4 linked regions of the Caenorhabditis elegans genome follow. The protein of the gene in region 1 purifies or fractionates together with the protein of each later gene. This does not show direct contact. Each region holds a gene or a part of one and is shown in the gene's direction. Other genes may lie near its edges. The genes, in order: C29E4.14, rac-2, Y17G9B.8 and mif-4.

The links.
Region 2: the proteins of C29E4.14 (region 1) and rac-2 fractionate together in Caenorhabditis elegans (co-fractionation; one large-scale study listed by BioGRID). This does not show direct contact.
Region 3: the proteins of C29E4.14 (region 1) and Y17G9B.8 fractionate together in Caenorhabditis elegans (co-fractionation; one large-scale study listed by BioGRID). This does not show direct contact.
Region 4: the proteins of C29E4.14 (region 1) and mif-4 fractionate together in Caenorhabditis elegans (co-fractionation; one large-scale study listed by BioGRID). This does not show direct contact.

Annotation. Positions count from the first base shown.
Region 1 is NC_003281.10:7,916,592-7,922,787, forward strand, and holds C29E4.14 (EF-hand domain-containing protein), read left to right. Parts: upstream 1-3,531; 5' UTR 3,532-3,548; coding exon 3,549-3,587; intron 3,588-3,643; coding exon 3,644-3,705; intron 3,706-3,751; coding exon 3,752-3,961; intron 3,962-4,345; coding exon 4,346-4,409; 3' UTR 4,410-4,499; downstream 4,500-6,196. Other genes in the region: gly-3 (Polypeptide N-acetylgalactosaminyltransferase 3), read right to left, coding at 1-197, 381-766, 819-973, 1,022-1,167; Putative protein tag-250, read right to left, coding at 1,687-1,908, 1,955-2,178, 2,676-2,740, 2,796-2,986, 3,035-3,235, 3,285-3,412, 4,506-4,689, 4,999-5,187 and 1 more; C29E4.17 (Spiroplasma plectrovirus-related protein), read left to right, coding at 5,947-5,951, 6,156-6,196.
Region 2 is NC_003282.8:16,304,679-16,311,529, forward strand, and holds rac-2 (Ras-related protein rac-2), read left to right. Parts: upstream 1-3,546; coding exon 3,547-3,651; intron 3,652-4,047; coding exon 4,048-4,139; intron 4,140-4,578; coding exon 4,579-4,764; intron 4,765-4,946; coding exon 4,947-5,151; downstream 5,152-6,851. UniProt on the Caenorhabditis elegans protein: During gonad morphogenesis, plays a role in distal tip cell (DTC)-mediated guidance of gonad elongation.
Region 3 is NC_003282.8:4,755,232-4,762,169, reverse strand, and holds Y17G9B.8 (SGF29 C-terminal domain-containing protein), read left to right. Parts: upstream 1-3,329; 5' UTR 3,330-3,539; intron 3,540-3,588; 5' UTR 3,589-4,052; coding exon 4,053-4,126; intron 4,127-4,172; coding exon 4,173-4,621; intron 4,622-4,668; coding exon 4,669-4,856; 3' UTR 4,857-4,993; downstream 4,994-6,938. Other genes in the region: cyp-31A3 (CYtochrome P450 family), read right to left, coding at 1-239, 288-382, 431-527, 571-971, 1,018-1,110; memi-1 (MEiosis-to-MItosis transition associated), read left to right, coding at 1,743-2,222, 2,270-2,455, 2,505-2,696, 2,748-2,930; Y17G9B.11 (PID domain-containing protein), read right to left, coding at 5,228-5,308, 5,359-5,565; fbxb-77 (F-box associated domain-containing protein), read left to right, coding at 6,034-6,125, 6,395-6,938.
Region 4 is NC_003282.8:6,334,730-6,337,636, reverse strand, and holds mif-4 (Macrophage migration inhibitory factor), read left to right. Parts: upstream 1-1,642; 5' UTR 1,643-1,649; coding exon 1,650-1,709; intron 1,710-1,753; coding exon 1,754-1,882; intron 1,883-2,211; coding exon 2,212-2,388; 3' UTR 2,389-2,407; downstream 2,408-2,907. Other genes in the region: blos-2 (Biogenesis of lysosome-related organelles complex 1 subunit 2), read right to left, coding at 2,670-2,707, 2,754-2,858.

The DNA of each region.
Region 1 (6,196 bases):
ATTACATCAATTATAGGAGCAACAACTCGTTTTCTGTCTTCAGCGACTCTTGATACAAGTGGTTCAAGCCATCCATCGGTAACCTCCACATGTGCATCCAGGAAGAGAAGGATCTTTCCCTTCGCCATTTCAGATCCGGTTAAGCGAGCACGGATTAGACCGGATCGATTCTCGAGATGAACCAAGTGGATTGGAATCTGAAAAAAGGTTGTCTGTTTAAGTCTAATATCGAAAAATCGAAAAATTTTCGTTTTATTATTCAAATTTTCTGTGTTCTGGCTATCCCTGAGATGGAAATTTTTTGTCTCCATCCTTTAACGAAGAACTAGGGTTACTGTATTTCGGAAGTCGCAATTTACAATTCAACTTATATAACTTACTGGGAACATTTTGATATAGGAATCCAACGGTTTGACCAAGTAATCTCGATCAGACTTATCGTCCACCAAAATAATTTCTTCCAATAAATGACGTGGCGATCGATTGATAACCGAATGGAGTGTTCTCAATAGTGTTGTCCATGCTTCATTATGGAAAACAATAATAATGGAAGTTTTTGGCATTCCAGCAGTTTTCAAATTATTTCCAGACGTGCGGCATGCATCTGATCGGTAATCCGGTAGAGTTCTATTAACTGAAATCATTTCAGAAGCGACAACATTGAATTGATTCTCCAAGAATCTCTTCTCTTTTATAGTTTTTTTGTCTTCTGGAACTGTGACTCCAGTACCTCCTTGTCCATGGTACCCTGGGCCAAATGCTTGAGCTGAAATACACAATTGTTTAAATATAAATTTTTATATTTTGCAATAGCTCACTTTCCATAAGTTTCCTCAATTGATTTGCAGTTTCTTTGTCAACGGGGTAAACTTGTTTCTCTTGTTTTTCAGGTTGAATAGGATGAGCATCTGGATCTGAATCATGTTGAGCTGCTGGTGGTAGTGGTTCTATCCGTCGAGCACGATTCAAGATTCTTAAAAATGATAACAATTAGTTGATGTAAATAATTTTAATAGAATACCTGTTATCCTCCGGAAATGGCTGTTGTTGTGATGTGGATGGATCGAGATAGTAAAAAAGAATAACAACATCAATGAGCAACCAGACGATGGAAGTGGCAATGACAGCACGACATACTGCCGAACGACCACCGCCCACACTCAGCATTCAATTACTCTGAAATTAGAGAATGATTAAAAATTCAGGGGAAAAAAGAAGATAAATTCCGATCAAAATTATTTAACAAGGCTAAATTTTCTTGAATAGTACTGGAAAATTGAAAACATGATAACTTTTGTGATAGAGAATACAAAAAAATGGTTTTAAAAATTCAAATAAAAATATTAATACGTGTCTATTTGAACACGTTTTATATCAAAACTAATAAACCGTGAACAAATTTTTTAAAATTTTTTAACAATTATTATTCCAACAAGCAAAATATACGAGAAGCACAAAAATAATTAAAAGACAATAAAACTGAAATTATCACAGAATTATGAAACTAGAAAGAATAAAAACTGAAGAGAAAAGTGGAAAACTGAGCAAATATTTTTGAATTTTCAGAGAAAGACTACTAATCGGCAAAACTGAGGAATTATGAAAATATACAATATTCAAAAATTAGAAAAAAATAAAGCACAAAATTGATTAGAAGCTTTGTAATGAAGACGGATCAGAAAATATTCAAATATTTCTGCCAACAATATTAATTGGTGTTGGAACAAAAGTAAGAAGTGACTGTGAATTGGGACTTGGAATTGGTGCATTTATTGGAAGAGCCAAACCACACGCGATGAGCCAGTCACCAATATCTCTACCACAACAAGATAAACGAGCTTCACAGGTTGGAACAGCTGGAGCATTTAATTGTTTCCATTGAGACCATCCAGGCTGAGTTGGTTCAACCTGAAATAATTAATTTGCATTTGAAAGTATTCTTTTCATGACTTACCACAACAGGTTCACCACATGCTGCTTCAAAGAATTCTCGAACAGCTTCATGTGACTCGCGGCTCCAAACTTCTCCTCCAGCAACTGGTTTGATTCCTCCGATTTTACACTTGAACATCAGCATTTTTTTGAATGGTGACGTGGAGTTGAGACGTCGCATTGCTTCTTTTCGCACGTATTGGAAAGCGCCCACATCCAGAAGATATACACAATAGGCTTGTTTGTCTGAAAAAAAAAGATGGACATTTCAAGGAAAAAAGGTATAATACTCAGCAAGATTGTAGATGTTTTGTTTTTTTTTTTGGGAAAAATGTGCGAAAAATTCAGATATACTGAGAAACTCACAATTGTTTTATTTACTTTTTCAAAAGTGCAATTTTGAACAGGATATTTAAATTTTTCCAAAATCACAGTTCAATATTACAAAACTATTTTTGCAATTTTTTTCAAAGTTACGGTATTCGGTCTCGACGCGACAAATTTATGTTGAATGAAAAGATGTGTGCGTCTTAAAGAGTACTGTAATTTCAAACATTTTTACGAAAAACTATAAAAATTCCAAAGTAACGAGATCTTTTGATTTACAGTACTTTTTAAAAGCGCACAGCCTCTTGTATTTAATGAAAATTTGTTGTGTCGAGAACTGGTACAGTAATTTTCGAAAATTTTTTTTTCAAAAATTTCCTGGTACAGTAAATAAAATAATAAATAAATATACCTACCAATTTTACTCGCACGAATACACTGAACACGTTCCCAACGATCATCGATAAAAGCCGCGTAGAATCTAAATTTTCAAATATTTAGCTTAAATTTTTTCAAATCAAAAAAAAAAGTCTCACCCTCCAAAATCAGGAGAACTTTCCAGTTGAGAATCAGGCAGAGCACATTCGTCTTTCAACTTTGCATACATATAATCGGGCATCGGGTCTAATGAAAGTTGCCGTAATGAGATGTCCGTGGGTCCTGCAGCGAAAATTGCATTTGCTGGGAACGCTGACATCGGCATTTGAGCAACGGTCATTGGTTGGATCTGAAAATGTTATTCTAAAATTTCTAAACATCAATAGAAGATATTTACCGTCGCAGGTTTGTCAAAAAGACATGTCAAACTGGATGTTGAAGCAGAAGCCGGAGTAATAGGTGAAGTTGTTTTTGTTGGAGTACTCAATCGAACAACTCCAGATGGTTTTTTAAGAAATTCGGTAATTGATAAGCCATCAGAACTTTGAAGATCTACAACTGGTAAAGATTCGGAGTCTGAGGAGTCAAACTTTGAAAGCTGAAAAAATATTCGTGAGATATTATACTTGTAAATAAATATTACTCACTGTTAGATTTATCGGAACCTGAATTCCATCATCTTTTGTCTCGAATGTTAAATCAACAAATTTATTATTCAACCTCAATGATTCTTCTTCACTGACATCCATACGAACTTCTCGAGCCATTGATCCGACTGAAAATTCATTGAAATTTTAAATTAAACGTGAAATTTATAAATTGATTTCTCATACTTTTTTATATTTTTTTTCTTGGTTAATACACGTTAGCAAAAAAGAAACAAAAATCAAAATTAGTATCACTTTTTGAAGATGTTCAGCGCTCTTTTTCTGTTAGCTCTAGTGGTTTTGGTGAGTTTTTAAATATTTTTTTCAATTATAATTTTTTTATAATCCGACATTTCTAGACCGTTAACGGGTTCGATAGGAAAGTACACAGTTTCGCTTCGGATGATGATTTGAGTATTGAGTGAGTTTGAGATACTTCCTTTTTTGAATTAACCTAACTGTTTTAGACATCTAAAAGATCATTACGGGAACAAGATTGAAATCGAAAAGCACACATCATCGAAAGATCGAAAGTTTTATTATTTTAAAGTTGGTGACACCAATCAGGATAATCATTTGGATGGTGTTGAACTCTTCAAAATGATAACGGAACACTCGGATGAGAAAACTAAAATGGATGTAGAGATGATTGAAGTACAAGCTGATCTAGTTCTCAGGTATTATTAAGACGCACAAAAAGGCGTCTTTATTAGAAATTGAAATGATAGAAATTGAAGTGGAAGCGCGCTACACTGCCAAATAAAAGTGCTCCGCCCACGACCCATAGGTCTCGTTAGGTATAATTTTCAAGCATTATACGCCTGTTTTGTTATGTTTTCCGTTAGCTTTATTGATTTTGAAGTTATAAAAAAACAATAATAAAAACAAATAACTGCTTAAAAATCGGCGAAATTAATTGAAAACGTTTTGCCGTCAAATACCTAACGAAATACGTGGATTGGGGGCGGAGCGTTGTCAATTGACCATACATCTCGTTTCCATGTCGATTACAAAAGGGCTCTCATCATCGATAATGATATTTCAAAAATATACATTTTCAGCGAACTCGATAAAAATGGAGATGGGATGATCAGTTTCAGCGAATATTCAAAGAAGTTCTCATAGACTCGAATATTGCTTTTTAATTTTACTCTATAAATTAACTTTCTACCTATTTTTGTGATTATTTTTAGATTTTAATAAAAATTTAAAAAAACTCACTTGACATTACTGGATGCACAGCAGGTGGTAAGAGTCTTATCGCCGCCACAGGGAATTTCTCACAGACGCCAACATCCACAAAATGGCACATGACTTGTCCGGATTGTGGTGGCTGCTTGGCAATTACACGAAACCATGTTCCATTCGAATCTTGAAGGGCATAAGCTCCACCAGCCACAATTTCCTGTAATTAATGAATACAGTTGTCTCATTTATGTAAAAGTACCAGGGCTGGGCATTTTTTGGATTTTTCGAACCAAAAAGGCAACAAAAAACCACTTTGGAACTCCAAACGTTTTTTGTAGATCTACAAAGTATATTTTACAAGTTTCGGGTTTTTTATAGTTTTTAATTCGTTATCCGAAATATTAGTTTTTGAATTCTTTTATTCATCTTTGTATGTTTATCAAAAAATATTTACGTTTTTTAATTGTTTCAACAACTTCAATTTTTTTCTTTTTTCGTCGGAAGCCAGTTGAGCACATGAACTTACATAAATTGCAACTCGACTATCGAGTGCCGATGGCGGAGTTTCTTGAGCATAAATCTCAGCGAGCGTAGTTCCAATTTTTTCATACTGATCGTCATCCGCGAGAGCTCGAATAAAGAATCTCTTTGGCGAATCTGCATAGACGATTGACACAGTTGATCCTTCTTTTAGAGCGACAGATTGTTGAGAAAGCTGAATATTAAATAAAATTGATCTTAAAAAATTGAATTTAAAAAACATACCGTTTTTGCATGCTCCGTTGGCTCATTCTCTTTTCTTTGTTTAATTTTTTTCAACTCATCCGCAGTTGGTTCTCGATCCGTGGAAATGACTGAATAAGTATTGAATGTTTAAATGTTTCAAAAAGAATACAAAATATTTTTAGAAAACATTTGGTGCAGAACAAAAAACAAATTACGAGTGAGTATATAATTACACAACGATTAGAACTCACTGAAATCGGAATTCAATTCCTCCATATTCGAATTAAGGTTAGAGAAGACAGAGGGGGCGTGGTGTTAATGCGAATTGGGCAAGCTGAAAGTAGGGATTAGATGAAGCATCAGCAGCAGGAGGCTTTGGATGATGGGATCAATTTCATGCAATGAAGGGATAGGCTAAGCAAAGAATAAAGGGGATTGGACAGTAAAGAGGTGATGTTAATTAAGTCGTTGAAATGTGAGTATATATTAGGTTGGGAATACTTATGACCGAGTAAATAAATAGAAGAATTGGCGGGAATTTTTAATTTAATCGTTTGTAATACTGTTTGAACAGGTTCCTTTGATTTAGCAATTATTTACTTCATCACTTTTGAAATAATCAGAATTAATTTCTAGTATATTTTTTTTGAAAAACGTGAACTTCATATTGTAGTAATTTTTTACAACAGTGGTTTGTCAAGGGACGTTTTCCTTTTTTTTTAACAATTTGTGTTTCAAAAAGCTATTGATGAGGTAAGAATTTTGTTTCGACGAATCTAAAATAGTCTTAAATTAAGAAATATCATTTAAAAAATCAAAAAAGAATGAAAAATTATACACACTTTTTAACCTATCAGACAGATTTTTCATTTCTTGTCGATTTTCATCATTTTTTCGTATTTCATGATTATTTTGAGTAATTTTAAGTAAACCCCTCATTTTCCGTTTTTTTTGCAGTTTACCCAATGAAATAATCGAATGGATTTTCTTGGGATCCA
Region 2 (6,851 bases), on another chromosome or scaffold:
GGTAAAATCTCAAGCTTCGACAACTTTTCAGTGGCGCAGCGGTAGAAACTTGATTTTTATTTAATAAGCACTTTTTGATACATATTACGGTACTTTGGTTTTGTCATTGATTTAGGTAAATTTTTGTCGATGAGTGCACAAAATTAGATCATATTCGTATTAAAGTATGACAATACAATAAAAACGTATTTTCGCGTATTGCCACTGCCAAGTTACAAAATTTTGAGATTGCAACTAAAATTCGATCATTTTTTCTCCAAACTTTTGAGCAGTTATGAAAAATCTCCAATTTCTATACTCCACCTTTAAATAAATTATCAATGGAGTTTTCAGCGACGGATGCGCAGTCATTGTTGTACTAGAAAACCGACTTTCCATTTTGTTAATCAATCCAACAAAATGGGAATATGCACGTTCGCCATTCTTTGCATTTTACTATTTTACTGCTATTGCCACCTTCTATCCAGTTTATGCTACAATGCCACCAGGAATAGAGTACAAAAAAGATTTTATCATAGAGGTGGTTCCAGATAATAGCCTTGTTAATCATAGAAATTAAATTATCAATTTTCAGTCTCTTCCCTGCCTTAGGGCTGGCCAAATGTCAAAAAATACGACAACTTAAAAAATATTCACGTGACGGGGGTCACTCTTCGACACTTTTGTTTTTGTCAATATTTGACGTGTCGAAAACCGACACCGTCGAGTTTAGACACTCGAAACGTTGATTTATTGTTTTTATTTTTGATTTTATTTCCCAGTTCACGTTTTTTCAAATGAGCACAGAAAACAATGATGTGGCAGTTGAAAAATTTAATAAAATACTTTGATTAACAATTATAATTTTCATTCATTTTTATCCACGTATTCAGTGTCGAAAAGCGACACCACGAAGTGTCAAGAAATGACTTTCTAATTTTTTGAATCACGTGTGAGATTCATTTTTCGACTACAGAAATAAATGAAAATTTTTGTTTATTGACGACACTTGGCCAGCCCTACCCTGCCTATCAGATGAAGTTCGCGCTCTCCCTCTCTACCTTGCCGTGGAAAACAAATTGCAATATCTGATGGGGACTGTAGGAGAAGCAATACTACTTTATGTTACCTGCTTGGCACTCTTTTTTCAAATCTACCGTGCTCTTAAAAAATATGGCAAAGTCCGTTCGAAACAAACCTTGGAACTACAAAAAAAGCTGATGAAGGCGATGTTTTTGCAATTGGCAATTCCCTTTTCCATTATCTCCATTCCAATGGCCTATTTCTCATATACACCATTTTTCAATGCGGCATTGAATAATACTATGTATATTATAGTTGCAACACATGGTTTCATATCAACAATTGTTATGCTCATTGTACAGAAACCTTACCGAGAATTTATCCTGGGAGGTTTCGGGAAGTTTTTTAAACTGAGACAGTCTAGCGAAAATGTTTCGGGGATCAGTTTACACTCGATGAATACAATTGTAGCACCAAACCGAATGTTTTGAATAAATACTACTTTAAACATTGTTTTTGCATTGATTCAAAGCACCGTTTTCTAACGTCGTAACATTTAAGCAGGTGATATTCAGTTTGTAGTTATTACTAATACATTTATTTTGTTTTCAAAGGATAGCCACAATTAAATTTAAAAAAAGATAAATCTCTTTGAAAATGGTATTTTGGTTAAATACTGTTCACTTGAGGGCTTGAAATATAATATAAATCGTTGGAGAGACAGGAGAAACGTCAACAGGGAGAAAACCTGTGTTATTATGTAGAGCACATATATTACAATAGGAAGTGTTAAATAGGAGATGTTAAAGTAGTTAGGAGAATTTCTTTTAAAAAAAGTTATTGTTCTGGATCAAGAATTTTTTATCTCACATATTAAGACAACTAAAGCACAAGAAAAACAGGAACGCTAGGTATAGGAAATAGACGTTTCTGGACATTTGATAAAGATGATTAACAGCTGGAAACAGTATCATCTGAATGAGAAAGTTATGTTTAATGCAATGCACGTGTTGAATACCGCTTTATCGAGTTTTCGATTCATTTTGAACACGTACACATAAACTGGGAATAATGCCGAAAAAACAATCACCGAAGCAATAAAAAATATCTTGAAAGAATAATATATTGTTTCAGTAATTTTTACAATAGTGTCGTTCATTGGTACTTCTTTTAAAGCAATGTACTGCCAAATTTATATTATAGATTAGGAATTAGTGTGAAATAAAGTTACTGACAGGTGAATGTTATTTACGGCAAGAGCGAAAATTTTGTTTCTGTAACATTCTTGACCAATGACAAGTAAAGGTGGAGTACCGAAATGGGTACTTGTGTTTCGCACTACGTTGCTCACTCGCCAAGCTACACACGCCGAGCTGCGGAACTCGGAAGGTATCGGCCGCTTCCAAATAACTACCTTTCGCACTTCGTTGCGCACACACACCGGCGAAGGGCGACGGCGCCTCCGCCGCGCCGCTCTCACATGGAAGCCCTATTCCCTTTTTTTGAAATGTATCCATTTTAATAAAACGTGATGTCCATTACCCCTCTTTAGGCTTAGAAATGGTTATTTCCTGAGCCTAAAGATACAAAAACTCCACACGTTAAAAAAAAAATTTAAATGAGGAAAATTTAAAAATGGCACAATACTACAAATTTTCGTAATTAGATTGCTAAAAAAAACAGTTATGATCACTCAAAAATTTTGGAAAAATCGGCTATATTTTGCTGAAATCTCAAATTTTCACAACTAGGGCTGTTATTTAGGACGTCCTAGGTCGTCCTTGTCATTTTTTGATGGCTTATTTTGGCGTCCGTTTAACAGGAAAATTCAGCCTCAAACTCGAATCCAGATAATATTAACCCAAATAATCTATTTTCGTTATCAAAATTAATGTGTTAAGTCCGAGGACTTTGGTATAAAAATTGGGAGGACGATGAGGACGTCCTGTTTAACAGCCCTATTGACAACTTTTCAGTGTCGCAGCGGTTGGAACTCAATTGTCATCCTAATTTCTGCACTATGACGAAAAGTCAAAGGCGTGGTGTACAGACAACTCAGTGCGAAATGTGGTTTTAGCTGCGGCCGACGCTTTTCGGGTTCCGCTCGGGGGTCACCGCAAAGCGCGCGTGGCAGACGTTATCCCGCCTGCATGGAATCCCTACCTTCCTCATAGGATTCATCAGTAGTTCTCGATCGTTCTTCGGCCCGGCCCAATTCACCTATAAAACTAAATGAAACGCGCATTCAAGGTCATTCCTTATATTTTCCCTATACTCTTATTTCGTTATTTTTGTCTTCCTTATACTTACCACGTGTCTGTTACTCATCTATTCTGTAATTACTTAATTCCTCTGATCAACATGACAAGATGAAATAATCTCACTAGATCCAGTTTTGCTTCTTATTTTTTAAAGTTTTCCGAGGGAAAACGTTAGTTAGATTTCCCCCTCCTATCAGGTTTTCTCCAATGTTTTTCAATATCATGATTAAAATTTGTCCTGTTCTTGAACCAATTTTCAGTTTTTTTGCTCGCGGAGCTCCAGATGCAAGCAATCAAATGTGTCGTCGTTGGTGACGGAGCCGTCGGTAAGACGTGTCTCCTGCTATCGTACACTACAAACGCTTTTCCCGGAGAATATATTCTAACGGTGAGCCACTTTTTGTCGGGGCACTTGAGAAAAATTCGGGTTGGCACTTGAAAATTTTTTTTTCAAAAAATCTTATTTTTTAGCGCAAAAATTTGAAAAAAAATTTGAAAAAAAATCTATCTATACTTTTTTATTTAAAAAACCATGAAAAGTTGAATTCGTTTTTCAAAAAAAGGCAACTTCTGTCCGTAAACGTAAAAATGAAAACATTTTTTGAATGAACCCTCTGAAAGTGGAAAATTTTGACCGAAAACACGATTAAAGTGCTAATTTACATGATGAAAATATGAAAAGTTCTTACCTTTTTTTGCCTGATTTTAACCAGATAAAATTGGAGAACGGTCTGAAATTGGGCTTTTTCCTTATAATCTCGAATTAAGCCCAATATTTATGCAGGTATTCGACACCTACTCAACAAATGTGATGGTCGACGGAAGGCCAATAAATCTCAGCCTATGGGACACAGCTGGACAGGACGATTACGATCAGTACGTGCGGAAAAATCTGAAAAATGCGTCAAAAAATGAGCCAAATTTCATTTTCTCAAAATAGTTGATAGTAAATTTTTTCAAAGTTTTCGCCTATTTTAGAGCAATTTTCTATTTTAGAGCGAAACATTCTGAAACTTCTAAAATTTTTAACCGACCTATTGTCTGCTAAAAGTACAATTTTGTTATTGTGAAAATTGCTAAAAATATTTCCTCCACAACTTTTTTTTCTACTTTTTACAATTTTTCTAGCAATTTTCAAGCGGATTCTATTTTATAATGACAAAAAGAATGTCTATCAAAAAGTAACATTTCATATCAAATTTCGTAGGGAATGAAAAAAATCTTAAACTATATCTAATCTATCTAATGAATGTTTATTGTATTTACATGTGAATGTAAATTTACAGCCCACTTAAATTTCCCCATTTTTCTTCAGATTCCGCCACCTGTCATTTCCACAAACAGACGTATTCCTCGTATGCTTTGCACTGAATAATCCAGCAAGTTTTGAGAATGTTCGTGCAAAATGGTATCCAGAAGTATCACATCATTGCCCAAATACACCGATTATTTTGGTTGGAACTAAAGCTGATTTACGCGAGGATCGAGATACTATTGAACGGTAATTTTTTGGGATTCATTTTAGCATCGAAACAACTTTTTTATCATGTTTGAGAGAGATATGGCAAGAAATTGGGTGTGAAACTTTTGCATATCTCCCCATGTTTTTACCTTTTCGGCCAAAAAAGACAGCAACTCCAATGTAATACCCCCAAAAACTCTTGAAAAATAAAATTTTTGCAGGCTCCGTGAACGTCGGCTCCAACCAGTGAGCCACACCCAGGGTTACGTGATGGCAAAGGAAATCAAGGCGGTCAAGTACCTGGAATGCTCGGCGCTTACCCAAATTGGATTGAAACAAGTTTTCGATGAGGCAATTCGTACTGGGCTCACCCCGCCACAAACACCACAAACGAGAGCCAAAAAGAGCAATTGCACGGTGCTTTAAAATGCGAGGAAATTGGAGAACTCAAATTACAGAAACTACAACAATTTCAACTACCATACTAATTTTCAATACATAAAAGCTTCTGAAGCTTTTCGTCGTTGGAATTTCATATTTTCAGGTCGGAAAAAAAATTGAAGGAGAGGATAATCCCTTGCCTTGAGGACTGATCATCACAAAGTTATTACCACATGATTAGTACCCACCTATAACAGACCAAAAAACGAACCACGTGTGTGTTCAAAGCTAAAATCGGAGTTTCACCATGTTTTTGGCGAGAACTCGTAATTTGAGCTTTGATTGTGAATTCTTTTAGGGCTTCCATGTGGGCGCCGGTCAGGCGCCTCCACCGGCCTCATGTCGCCACTAACGCCGCAAGTATCCGTATGTATAGTGCGGCGCGAAACCTCGAACGTGTCGGCCGCTTCCATATAACTACCACTTCGTTGCGCACATACATCGACGAGGGGCGAAGGCGACGGCGGGCCGGCGTGAGGCCGGCAAAGGCGCCTCCGCCATGCGGCTCTCACATGGAAGCCATAGTTTAATTTGATGGTCATCCTAATTTCTGCACTATGACGAAAAGTCAAAGGCGTGGTGTACAGACAACTCAGTGCGAAATGTGGTTTTAGCTGCGGCCGACGCTTTTCGGGTTCCGCTCGGGGGTCACCGCAAAGCGCGCGTGGCAGACGTTATCCCGCCTGCATGGAATCCCTACCTCCCTCATAGGATTCATCAGTAGTTCTCGATCGTTCTTCGGCCCGGCCCAATTCACCTATAAAACTAAATGAAACGCGCATTCAAGGTCATTCCTTATATTTTCCTTATACTCCTGTTTCGTTATACTTTTCTTCCTTATACTTACCACGTGTCTGTTGTTTGTCCCCATTTACTCTTCTATTCTGTAATTGCTTCATCCCTTTAATAAACACGACAAGATGAAATATTCTTACTATATCCAGTTTTGCTTCTCATTTTTTAGTTTTTCGAGGGAACAAGTTATGGGGTTATTCAAGTAGTGTCGGAAAATTAAAAGGTGTAGGAATATTACGTCACTTTGTGTATTAAAATACATAAAAAACATGTACATAAAGTGACCTAATATTCCTACACTTTTTTAATTTTCCGACACTACTTGAATAACCCCATTAGGTTTCCCCCCGAAGGTTATCTCCTATATTTTTCAATATCATGATTAAAATTTTTCCTGTTCTTGAACCAATTTTCAGTTTTTTTGCTCGCGGAGCTCCAGATGCAAGCAATCAAATGTGTCGTCGTTGGTGACGGAGCCGTCGGTAAGACGTGTCTCCTGCTATCGTACACTACAAACGCTTTTCCCGGAGAATATATTCTAACGGTGAGCCACTTTTTGTTGGGCAATTTGAGAAAAATGGCGTGCAAAAATCAGAAAAAAATCGTCATTTTTATTTAAGAAAACATAAAAAGTTGAACTTGTTTCTCAAAAAAAGCAACATTTGTCCATAAACGTAGAAATGGGTAAAAATTTAGAATAAAAAGTGGGTAATTTTTACCGAAAATACTTTGCCTGATTTTGAGCAGAGAAAATTAAAAGCGGTCTGAAATTTGACTATAAATTCAAATAATGTTCAATATTTCTGCAGGTGTTCGACACCTACTCAACAAATGTGATGGTCGACGGACGGCCAATAAATCTCAGCCTATGGGACACAGCTGGACAGGAA
Region 3 (6,938 bases), on another chromosome or scaffold:
TTAGTCCTGTAGATGTTGTATCGTGGCCTTCAAACATGAATGTGTCAACTTCTGCCTGAACATCTGTTTCGTCCATTTGTCCACTTTTCACCATTTCGAGAAGAAGATCTAAAAATGCGAGACGACCTTCCATCTTATAATCATTCTCCTGTAGCGCTTCTTTTCTCTCGACAATTACTTTCTTCGTGAAATCATGTAGAATACGAAGACATTTTTCATGCGTTCGTCCGTCTTCTGTTCTGAAAAATAAAATTGAATTGACCTTTTTAATGATAAAACTATCGTACAAATTGTAAATAAACGAATTCCACATTAACGGATTATTTGTTCGCTTTGAGATCAGCTTGTTGATTGTGTGCACCGCCCATACATACTCGTTATTCTGAAAAAAAAACGTTTAGAAATGTTGCGATTGAAGAATTTCTCGAACCTCCGCGAGTTGAGCACCGATAGCTTTGCCCATGGAAGTTTCACAAATGATATCAAGAGTGCACAAGGTTATAACGGAGAGAACATCAACTTCTTCCCTGAAAATGAATATTTGAAAGCGTTATAAATTGAAATTCTCACTCTGCTCCGAGGGAACACATTTTCTGAACCAAAATCTTTGATTGCTCGTTGAAAATCGGCAAAAAATCCTTCAGAATATCATAATGGAAGGTGGGTGTCAAGAGTTTTCGCTTTGGACGCCATTGTTCCTTCTGGCTTGTCAAAATACTGATTCCAAGCCATGGCTCAAGCAAAACGTATGCGAAACCTTTGTTCAGATGTTTCGTCGACGAGAAAATTGGTTCCACGAGATCGGCGGAGTAGAGCATCAGGCAAGGGAACGGACCAATCCACAAAAGACACATACGTGGATCTGGATATAAATATCCCATTCCAATTACTTGGTTCATGAATCCCTCTGGATCTGGCTTGGTGACCAGTCCGTGACCGACGATTGGATATGAACGTGGTTGATTGAGATGCTGAAAATTTATTTAAATTATCTTCAAATGAATTTTGAAATCAAACCTTCAAAGCTTGACGCATTCTCAAGTGTTTGTAGAGAAGCCAAGCGATTATCGTCGCCGAAGCGAGAAGTACAGCGGGGATGATAACCCCCATTGCAAAACCTTCTGAAATAATTTATTTGAGCGAAAAAAACGAGCAAAAAGCGTTGAAAACTTGAGGAAAATTGTTTGTTAAGCTTTGGTTTTGAAAATCGCAAAAAAAAAAGTTTTTGAACGAACATTCAAATTTCAGACAAGTCGTGGTGAGACCCATGTGAAAATCGTCATGCGTCTTTAAAGAGTACGGTAGTCTTGAGAAAGTTCTCGAACGAATTTTTGTCGTTTTCTGATATTTCAATCTTGATTTAAATAATTATTAAAAACTTTTAATTACCATTATTTTTTCAACAAAAAAATGAAGAAAACAAAAAAACAAATCCAAAACTATTTTTCAATGAATATTGTACTTTTTATGAATGCTTCGTCTATTTGACCTATTTGACGTATTTGATCCCCCCGTCGAAAAACCAGCGCAACTATTTCATATAGGCTCAACGAATTTTTGATCGTGAATCTTCTTCTTCTTTGCTGACACTCACAAAAACTGATGAAGTTTTTTAAAAAATGGTTTTATCGATAAATTATTATTAATCTGCCAATCACTTCAGTACATTTACTTTTTTTTTAGTTTTCTCTTTCATTTTTGCTTCAAATTTTTTATAAAATTTTAAATCAACGTTTTTCAGAATGTCAGCTCCATCTCGCACCGTCCTTCGCGATTTGACGGCGACCAGATACGTCGCCAACTACGCCGAAGAAGATCGCTTGGAAACCGCTCGAGCCGGTTGCTCTTCCCTCCCACCACAACCCAACATCAATCATGATGTAATTATCGAAGGGCACGGAGAAGATGTGGAGCTCGTCGAAGATGAGAACTACTGTTCCGTTCATCGTATCGATGAGACTCCAAAGCTCGTCGACAAGAAACCGAGCAAGACAATCATCCGCGATGAAGCTGTCAAAGTGCTCCGGCACATTCAGACTGTGCCGATTGAAAATCTTCGTCTTAAGCGCTACGACTATTTCTCGCAAAGATGGTTCCACACGACCAGAGAATCGGAGAAAGCGCTTGTCGAGCACGTGTTTCTTCATCCCAACCAACGACCACATTATTTTGCCGCTCAGTGCCGGAAGCTGTCGGTCGAGGATATCTCTAGTTTGATTCTGGTTAGTTTCTTGGCCATATTTTTGATAAAGCATAAATCTCATTTCAGACTTCTCTCCTGACCGAACCGAAGGAAACGGGACAAAATGTGGCTCGATTTGCTATCCAGACAACCAATGAAATGTCGTTCCAAACGTTATTTGCATTGCTCGAACAACTAGAGAAGGAAAACGAAAGGTTCCAAATGACAGATAGCTTTGTGGTTGCAACCCTGATCCGATCACAGACGAAGAGAGTAAGTAAATCGGTTTTATATTACACACAAATAACTTTTCATGTTTCAGACTATCACTCGTCTCCTGAGAACCACACACTGCCGGGAATACGGAAATCTCGAGCCAGGACTCGATTCACAAGGCCGGCTGATGACTTCGACTGCATCAATCACGTGTTCAATTCGAGGAAAGCGCCACGTGGAAACGAGGATCGTGTACAAGAACAACTCGAGCACCAGGGATCCTTTCCGAAGAAATAGAGTGAGTTGTATAGCAATAATTCTATCGATTTCCAATTTATAACATTTTCAGTACATCGAATTGGAGCAAACGGTGAAGTGCATGAACCGGCGAGTGCTGATTGTCGAAGAGCCAGTCGAAATCCACGAATTCGAGGTCGAAAAGGATATGATCTCGCTGGAAAACGGAATTGCGCCAGTCGACGACCTGATCTCGTTTCTCGAAACATTCGAACTGGATGAAGAGGACGAGTAACTCCATATATGTCCTATAATTAGTAGTAATGTGCATAAGTCTGTATTATTGTATATGTATTTAAATAACCGAGTGGTTCCTGTTGAATATTCCAACTAACTTCCCCTATTTTATTTTCCTTTTTTGTTTTAGTTGTTTTATGTATATAGATTCTCCAATGCCCAAATTGTGACAACCCACGACTATTTTGTTTATATTCGACATGTATATTGCCCGCATTTATTTTGATTTTTTTTCAAAGATGAATTTGTTTGAGGTATAATTTTACAATGCATTACTGCTCTGATTGATTGATTAGAATATGAATTTCAACTATTCCCGGCTTTTCACTGGTAAATTACTCCATATACGTTATTTTCCCACCGCAACAACCTGGCCTTTTCATTGCCTCATTCACAGCATACGACTTGTAATGTCTGCACTCTCCCCGTCTCATCACGTAATCAGGTCTCTCTCGATTCTTCCCGTTTAAATATATATCTGCTCTATTGCACCTCTTCATTTCCTTGTTCAGGAAAATAGCATAATTTCAAAATGCCTCGGAAGAAGAACGATGTGCAAATCACCGAGGAAATGAAGAAGAAAACCGCCGAAGAGGTTATCAAAAAGGTGAGTTTTATTTATTTATTTATTCCTAGTTTTGAAATTAATTTTCCAGCTGCCAACAGTGAAATCGAAGCAAGACGCTATCAACGAGAATCTGCAAAAACTTCAAGAATTCCGAGATAATGAGCCGAACCCCTATGGAAAGGGTAAAGTGGGTTTTTTTAAACAATTTTTATAACTAATTTTTGCGAAATCCAATCATTAAAAATTCAATATAAATACAGTAGTCTGTTTAAAGGGGCACGTGGTTGTACGGCTGGGTCTCGCCACGATTTTAAAGTTTTCTTGCAAATATCAATTAAAATCTTAACAAAAGAAATCAATGAAGACCAAGTTTTAGATAAATTTTTAAAATTTGAAGTAAAGTTTTGAATAGTTTCAACAAAATTTTCGGGGCAATTGCCTCGAAAATCTGTTCAAATTTGCAATCTGTACAAATTCGGCGATTTCTGCATGCTGTGCACAAATTCGGTTGAAATCTGGGTATATTCTGAACGGGTTTACTGAGAAGTTTCCATGGTTTTCGATGGAATTTCACATTTTGTCACCAGCACTCATCGATCTGTGGAATCACAACAATCATTCATTAGGTTCGTTTTCATCTTTAATCTCTCAAAATTAAAATAAATATTACAGAAATCTTTTGGACGAAGTAAAACGTGTTGCTGAAATGGATTATCGCTCCCAAATGGCCGGAGACATCAGTCGGAGAGATTTAATGGAACTGATCAAGGTTCGCGGCGACCTTCTTCCATTATGGACCAGCCATGACACACAATTTCCTGGAGAATATGTTGGAGCTATTGCACCACAGGATGGCTCGAAACTAGGCGACGGAGATTCAGTGGCGGCATTCAGTAAAGACGGAAACTGGATTCTTGCTGATATTGTCACATGTCACTCTAACTCGCGATATGAGTGTCGAGACGTTGATGATGACAAGAAGAAGTTGACAGTTTTCGCGAGAAGCCATTTGTTACCCCTCCCAAAATGGAAAGCGAATCCTGCATCAGACAAGCATGCACTTTTCGAGAAAAATGCGATTGTGTTGGCGTTGTATCCACAAACCACTTGCTTCTACAAAGGTACCAATTTTCACAAAAGTTTCAAAAATAAAATAATTATTTTCCAGGAATAGTTCACTCCCCGCCAGCAGATTTTCGAGAACCATATCAAGTAGCGTTCGAAGACGACAGCTATGCATCAGGATTCTGCCCTCCAATGCCGGTTGCTCAGAAATACGTGGTTGCCTTCCGAGAAGTTGCAGGGCTCACTGCATCAACTGCTCCAAAAAAGGGAAATGGCCACAAAAAGAAATGAGGCCATAATCCAATTAATTGACAGTATTTATTGTATGTAACTCCTAAAAATCCCGGAATTCCTTCTCATAAATCTCACAATGTTTTTTATTTGTCCATAAAAGTTGTTCTTATCAAAAATAAAACGTGTTATTATTGGCGGCAACATTATTCGAAAATTATACAAGAGAAATAATTCAGAGAGTGCAGAAAAAATTAGAAAGTGATCCAATGCGTGGTCTTGATTATTAAAAATTAACGTGATTTTAAAACCAGAAAAACATTTTGATTAATATATCTGCACGATCTACAATGATAAATAGTACATAGCCGTCATCCCATCATTCCTTCTCACATCATAACCACCTTTGACAGGATACTCGTCACATCCCGTCAATCCCAACGGCAAAAGAACAAAAAATTCTCTATCCACAGTCTCCTCAGCATCGAAAGCGCACTAGAGATAGCTATCTGCTAGATATTCTATACCTTCAAAGAGTGATTCGAGAAGATCTTCGTCTCACCTGAATGCAGTAAAATCGAAATTCGCAGATTCCAGTTTCCTGTCGACTCCGTGAATCCAGTGTTTCAAAAATATATTGACATCTTTGATTCTTAGATAAGCGACGAATGCGGAAGCATTTGTCACTATTTAGTACATCATTAAGATCATATTTCAATGATTGGTGTAGTACAACTATGTCCATGTTACGTGTTAAAACCATTTGCATTTGTTTAGATGCTTCTATTGAGAACGGGTTTTTGCTGCTTGTACAAATTGAATCAGTTTTACCGGAAAACTGTTTCAACACATGTTCATATAGCAAACTGTTAAAGCCAAACACTGTGCCTAGCTGCAAATCCTCAAACTCCAATCCTTCGAATTCATCACAAATCGTACTTTCGAATTGTGCAGTATCAAATGATAACTTATCAATTCTCTTTTGATGAAATATTTCCATAAGATGATTGTCCGTTCGTCCGTGAGAGTGAAGTGTTTGAGAAGATTCTTTTTGTCAGAATAAGAAGACGTTAGAATATGTTAATGGGTCCTGGGAACATGGGAGTGGTTACGGACGAAGGAAATCTTTGTCTCTGCAGCAGATGTATAATAACAAGTAAGTAGAGAGTTAGAGAAATAAGAGGTCACTGAACATTACCACTCAATCCTCCCATCTGCTCATTCTTTATTTGTGACCATGGATGACTATGTGCCTATTCCCTTCACATTGCTCAAATTACCTCAAAAATCGATTGATGTCGTGCTGCGCAGAATGTGCATAGAAGCATTGTGAGTACATAGATCATCATTAAATTTTTTCTGTAGTTTGCTGAAGAGCGTAATTCGAAAAATTGCTTGAGTGATTCGAGAAGTTTTAATGAAATGTATAGTTACTTTGAAACTTTTATTACTCAACAAGCCGGTGTCTTTCGAGCCTACCTCTCGACTTCCTCCGACTAGTAAAATTAAAATTCAAACATCCCGTTCTCAAATAGCCTTGATCCAGGGATATGGTTCACTAATCGCATTTCCTTGTCAATATGAAATATTCATTACAGAGTTGAATTATCATTCACATCTAAAGCTGCAATGCAACAAACTAAACACCTTGGTATAAAAACCGAACGTTTTATCATCGCAATTAATTCAAATGAAATATTGATTGACGTTTCCGGTTGTAGAGATTTCCGATTCTACACTTTCGAATGTTCAACCCCCAGCCACCATACTGTACAGAAGCCCATAAGAGTGCATGTTGGTTTCAGAGGGGAAAGATGGGAAACCCCATTTTTTGGAGTGAGACAATTTTTGAATCATCTTATGGAAATATTTCATCAAACAAAACTTGATAGCTTACATATTAGTACAGCTGACCCTGAATGTTCTAATGAACTCAAAGGAATGGAGTTTGGGTGGTTGTCCATGATGTCCATGACATCGGACAACAATAGTTCACAAGATGAAGATGCATTGAGACAGTTTTCCGGCAAAACTGATTCAATTTGTTTAAATAGAAACCCATTCTCAATAGAACCATCTAAACAAATGCAAATGATTTTAACACGAAACATGAACGTAGTATCAACGAAATGTGATCTTAAT
Region 4 (2,907 bases), on another chromosome or scaffold:
TTATTTATTACTCGGAAGTGAAATTTTACGATTTTTGCGCCAGATATACGGTAGCCGGTCTCGCCACGAACAATTTTAGTTAAATGCGACAAGGTCTCGGTTGTTGCGGAATTTTTATAGAATTTCATAGTTTTTTAGACAAAAAACACTTTTATTTATGTTTAAAACAACTCAAATATAACAATAAAACGCATGAATTCCAACAAATCGATGCTACAGTAATCTTTAAAGGCACACGTCTTTTCACATTTCCTATGCTTGTCGTGTCGAGACCGTGTGCCGTATTTCTGGCGCAAAAAACAACAAAATTTCGCTTTTGAACAATAATTAAATAAAAAAGAAATTTAAAAAATGAGACGTGGGAATTGTATACGGTTAATTTCAAAGAATTCACGGGAAAATTCATTGAAAAAATTCAAATCTCAGAAAAAAAGTGAAGAGTGAACAGTTTTAGAAACCTTGTCAGTTTGGAAAACTACGTGATAACTCAAAAGAACGGAAGAAAGTTTCTCACTTTTCCGTGTCTCTCTGTAATCTCTTGACAAAGCCCACTATTTCAGGCCATCAGAGAACAGGGTCGGGAGGATCACGCCACTCGTTTCAACACTCAGTAGTCCACAGCTTGCACTACCCACATTGTTTCTCCGTCTGCGTATCCACGTCTTATGTTGTCTCTCGCATTGTCTTTCTATTTCTGAGTCTCTTGCACCTCTCTGTCATCATGCATATATACAATTGAAATGGAAAGGACAGACTGCACTAAACCGAAAAGCACGTGGTCTTGTCTGGGAGGAGAAGAATGTTGAAGACAAATCACACGACAACGTGATATGTGACGTCACAGAGGGGAGTCCCCACGTGACAGGTACTTTAATGAGACAGAGAAAGTTCGAAATGTTGAGTCACGAATCGCGAACGGAATTGAGCCGAGTGGAAAAAAAGAGTTGGAAATTTCGAGATGAGCAGCCAGCTGATTTAGTCTACAGTAATCTAGAATAACTAAACAAAAGTTTTTGAACCTATTCCAGCTTTATGAGTCATGAAAAATGGAGCGCAGCAATAAAAATATGGTGTACGAATTTCAGGAAATACTTCTCGTTAACAAAGATAGTTTGAAACTACAGTACTGTTCAAAGCGCTGACATGGTTGTGTCTAAGAAAAATTGTCGTACCGAGACCTGGTACCGTATTATTATAGCAAAAATCGCGAAAATCTGCATCTGAATAATATCAACTACATAACTGAGATCGTGGCGAGACCCTAATGAAATTACGATAATATAAATAATATTGATTCAAAACTGTGATTCTTGCTTCTAGTTGTTGCAACACATTCTGATCTGTGTCTCCCTAACCTACTTCCGATTTTCACCAAAAAAACCGTGTGCCCAACCCAAAATTCAAGGTCAAACTTATTTCCATTTCCCCGTACTAATTGTTTCCATGTCATCCCATTTCTGTCCATCCTGCGCACATAACATTGACAAATGGAGTTGTGTATTTATTGTCGAGTGCACGCTCTTTTCTTCGAGCGACATGTTTTCTCAGCTGGCTGAGCATTTTTTCCCGTTGGTTTTTATGTTGCGAAACGACAATTTCTCTTTTTTTTAAAATATTTTCAAGCCGAATTTCAAAATTTTAGAATTAAAATGCAAGTTGTTCGAATTCAAACCAACATCCGAAGTGCTGATATTCCAGAAAAGTTTGAAGTAAGTTTGCATAAAACGAAATTTCTAATTTCTAATATTTTCAGCAAGATGTGATCTACAATTTATCAGTTGTAATGGAATTACCAGCTGATAAATTCGTGATTATTGTTGAGCCGGCAGTTAGAATGAGAATTGGATTTGAGAATAAAGAAATTCCAGTTGCAATTGTAAATGTGCGTTTTTTTTTATTTTGAAAAAATATTAGGCTTGGGTCTTGTCACGTGTAAAATTTTTCAGCTACAGTAACCTGTGTATTTTTCAAAATCTGAAAACTTTTTTATAATTAAAATTTTTTTAATCGAGAAGAAATGTGTGAAAAATAGAAAAACTAACTAGATTCATAAAATATAAGTTAATTTTATGAGAAAAATATTTTTAACTAAAAAGTGATAGAATACCGGGGTACGGTAGCTGACAAGTTTTGGACGTGCCGGGACCAGAGACCGTGTTTTTTTTTTTTGAAAATGTCAACTCGTTGAAAATTAAGAATAACAATTTTCAGTTCCAAACAACCCGGCCTTCTTCTCGAATCGAAAATGACTCATATGCAAAAAAATTGACATCAGTGCTCAATGAGCAGTTGAAGCTTGATCCCGCCCATATTTTCATATCATTTGATTTTAAAGATGCAAAAAGTTTTGCAACTCAAGGGAAGACAATTGCTTCTTTGTATGAATAAATTTGTAAAAAAGTTGAAACGCATGGATTTAACAATGAAGTAAACATCTGAAAACATCGAAAAAAACAAGACAAAGCATAATTCATAAGTTATTTTATAGCAAAAGGGAGGGAGCAAAATTAGCATTAATGAGAAATAGAAACTTTGACAAGAAAATGTAAAAATAAGTTATGCTGAATATAATGACTAGAGTTACATAAATTATTGAACGGAATGTGAATAAGAAATCACACATTAATTTAGTTACAGAAAAGCTGGAAATAGTTTGAGATTGAGCTGGCTTATTGGCTTTGCTGTTGGATGTTGGTGAGCTTGGATTCTGAAATTAAAAATCTTTGAATTTTTTCTTGAAAGGCTTAACCTACCGAGTTGGGTAACATAATTTTCAAGAACAGCGGTAGCTTCCTCCAATCTCCGGGTGCTCTCATCCATAGCATCAATTTGGGAAAGATATGGACGCAGATTCTCGTCTGGAAAATAATCTTTCATAAATTTTCCGAAATAAATAATAAAGGCATA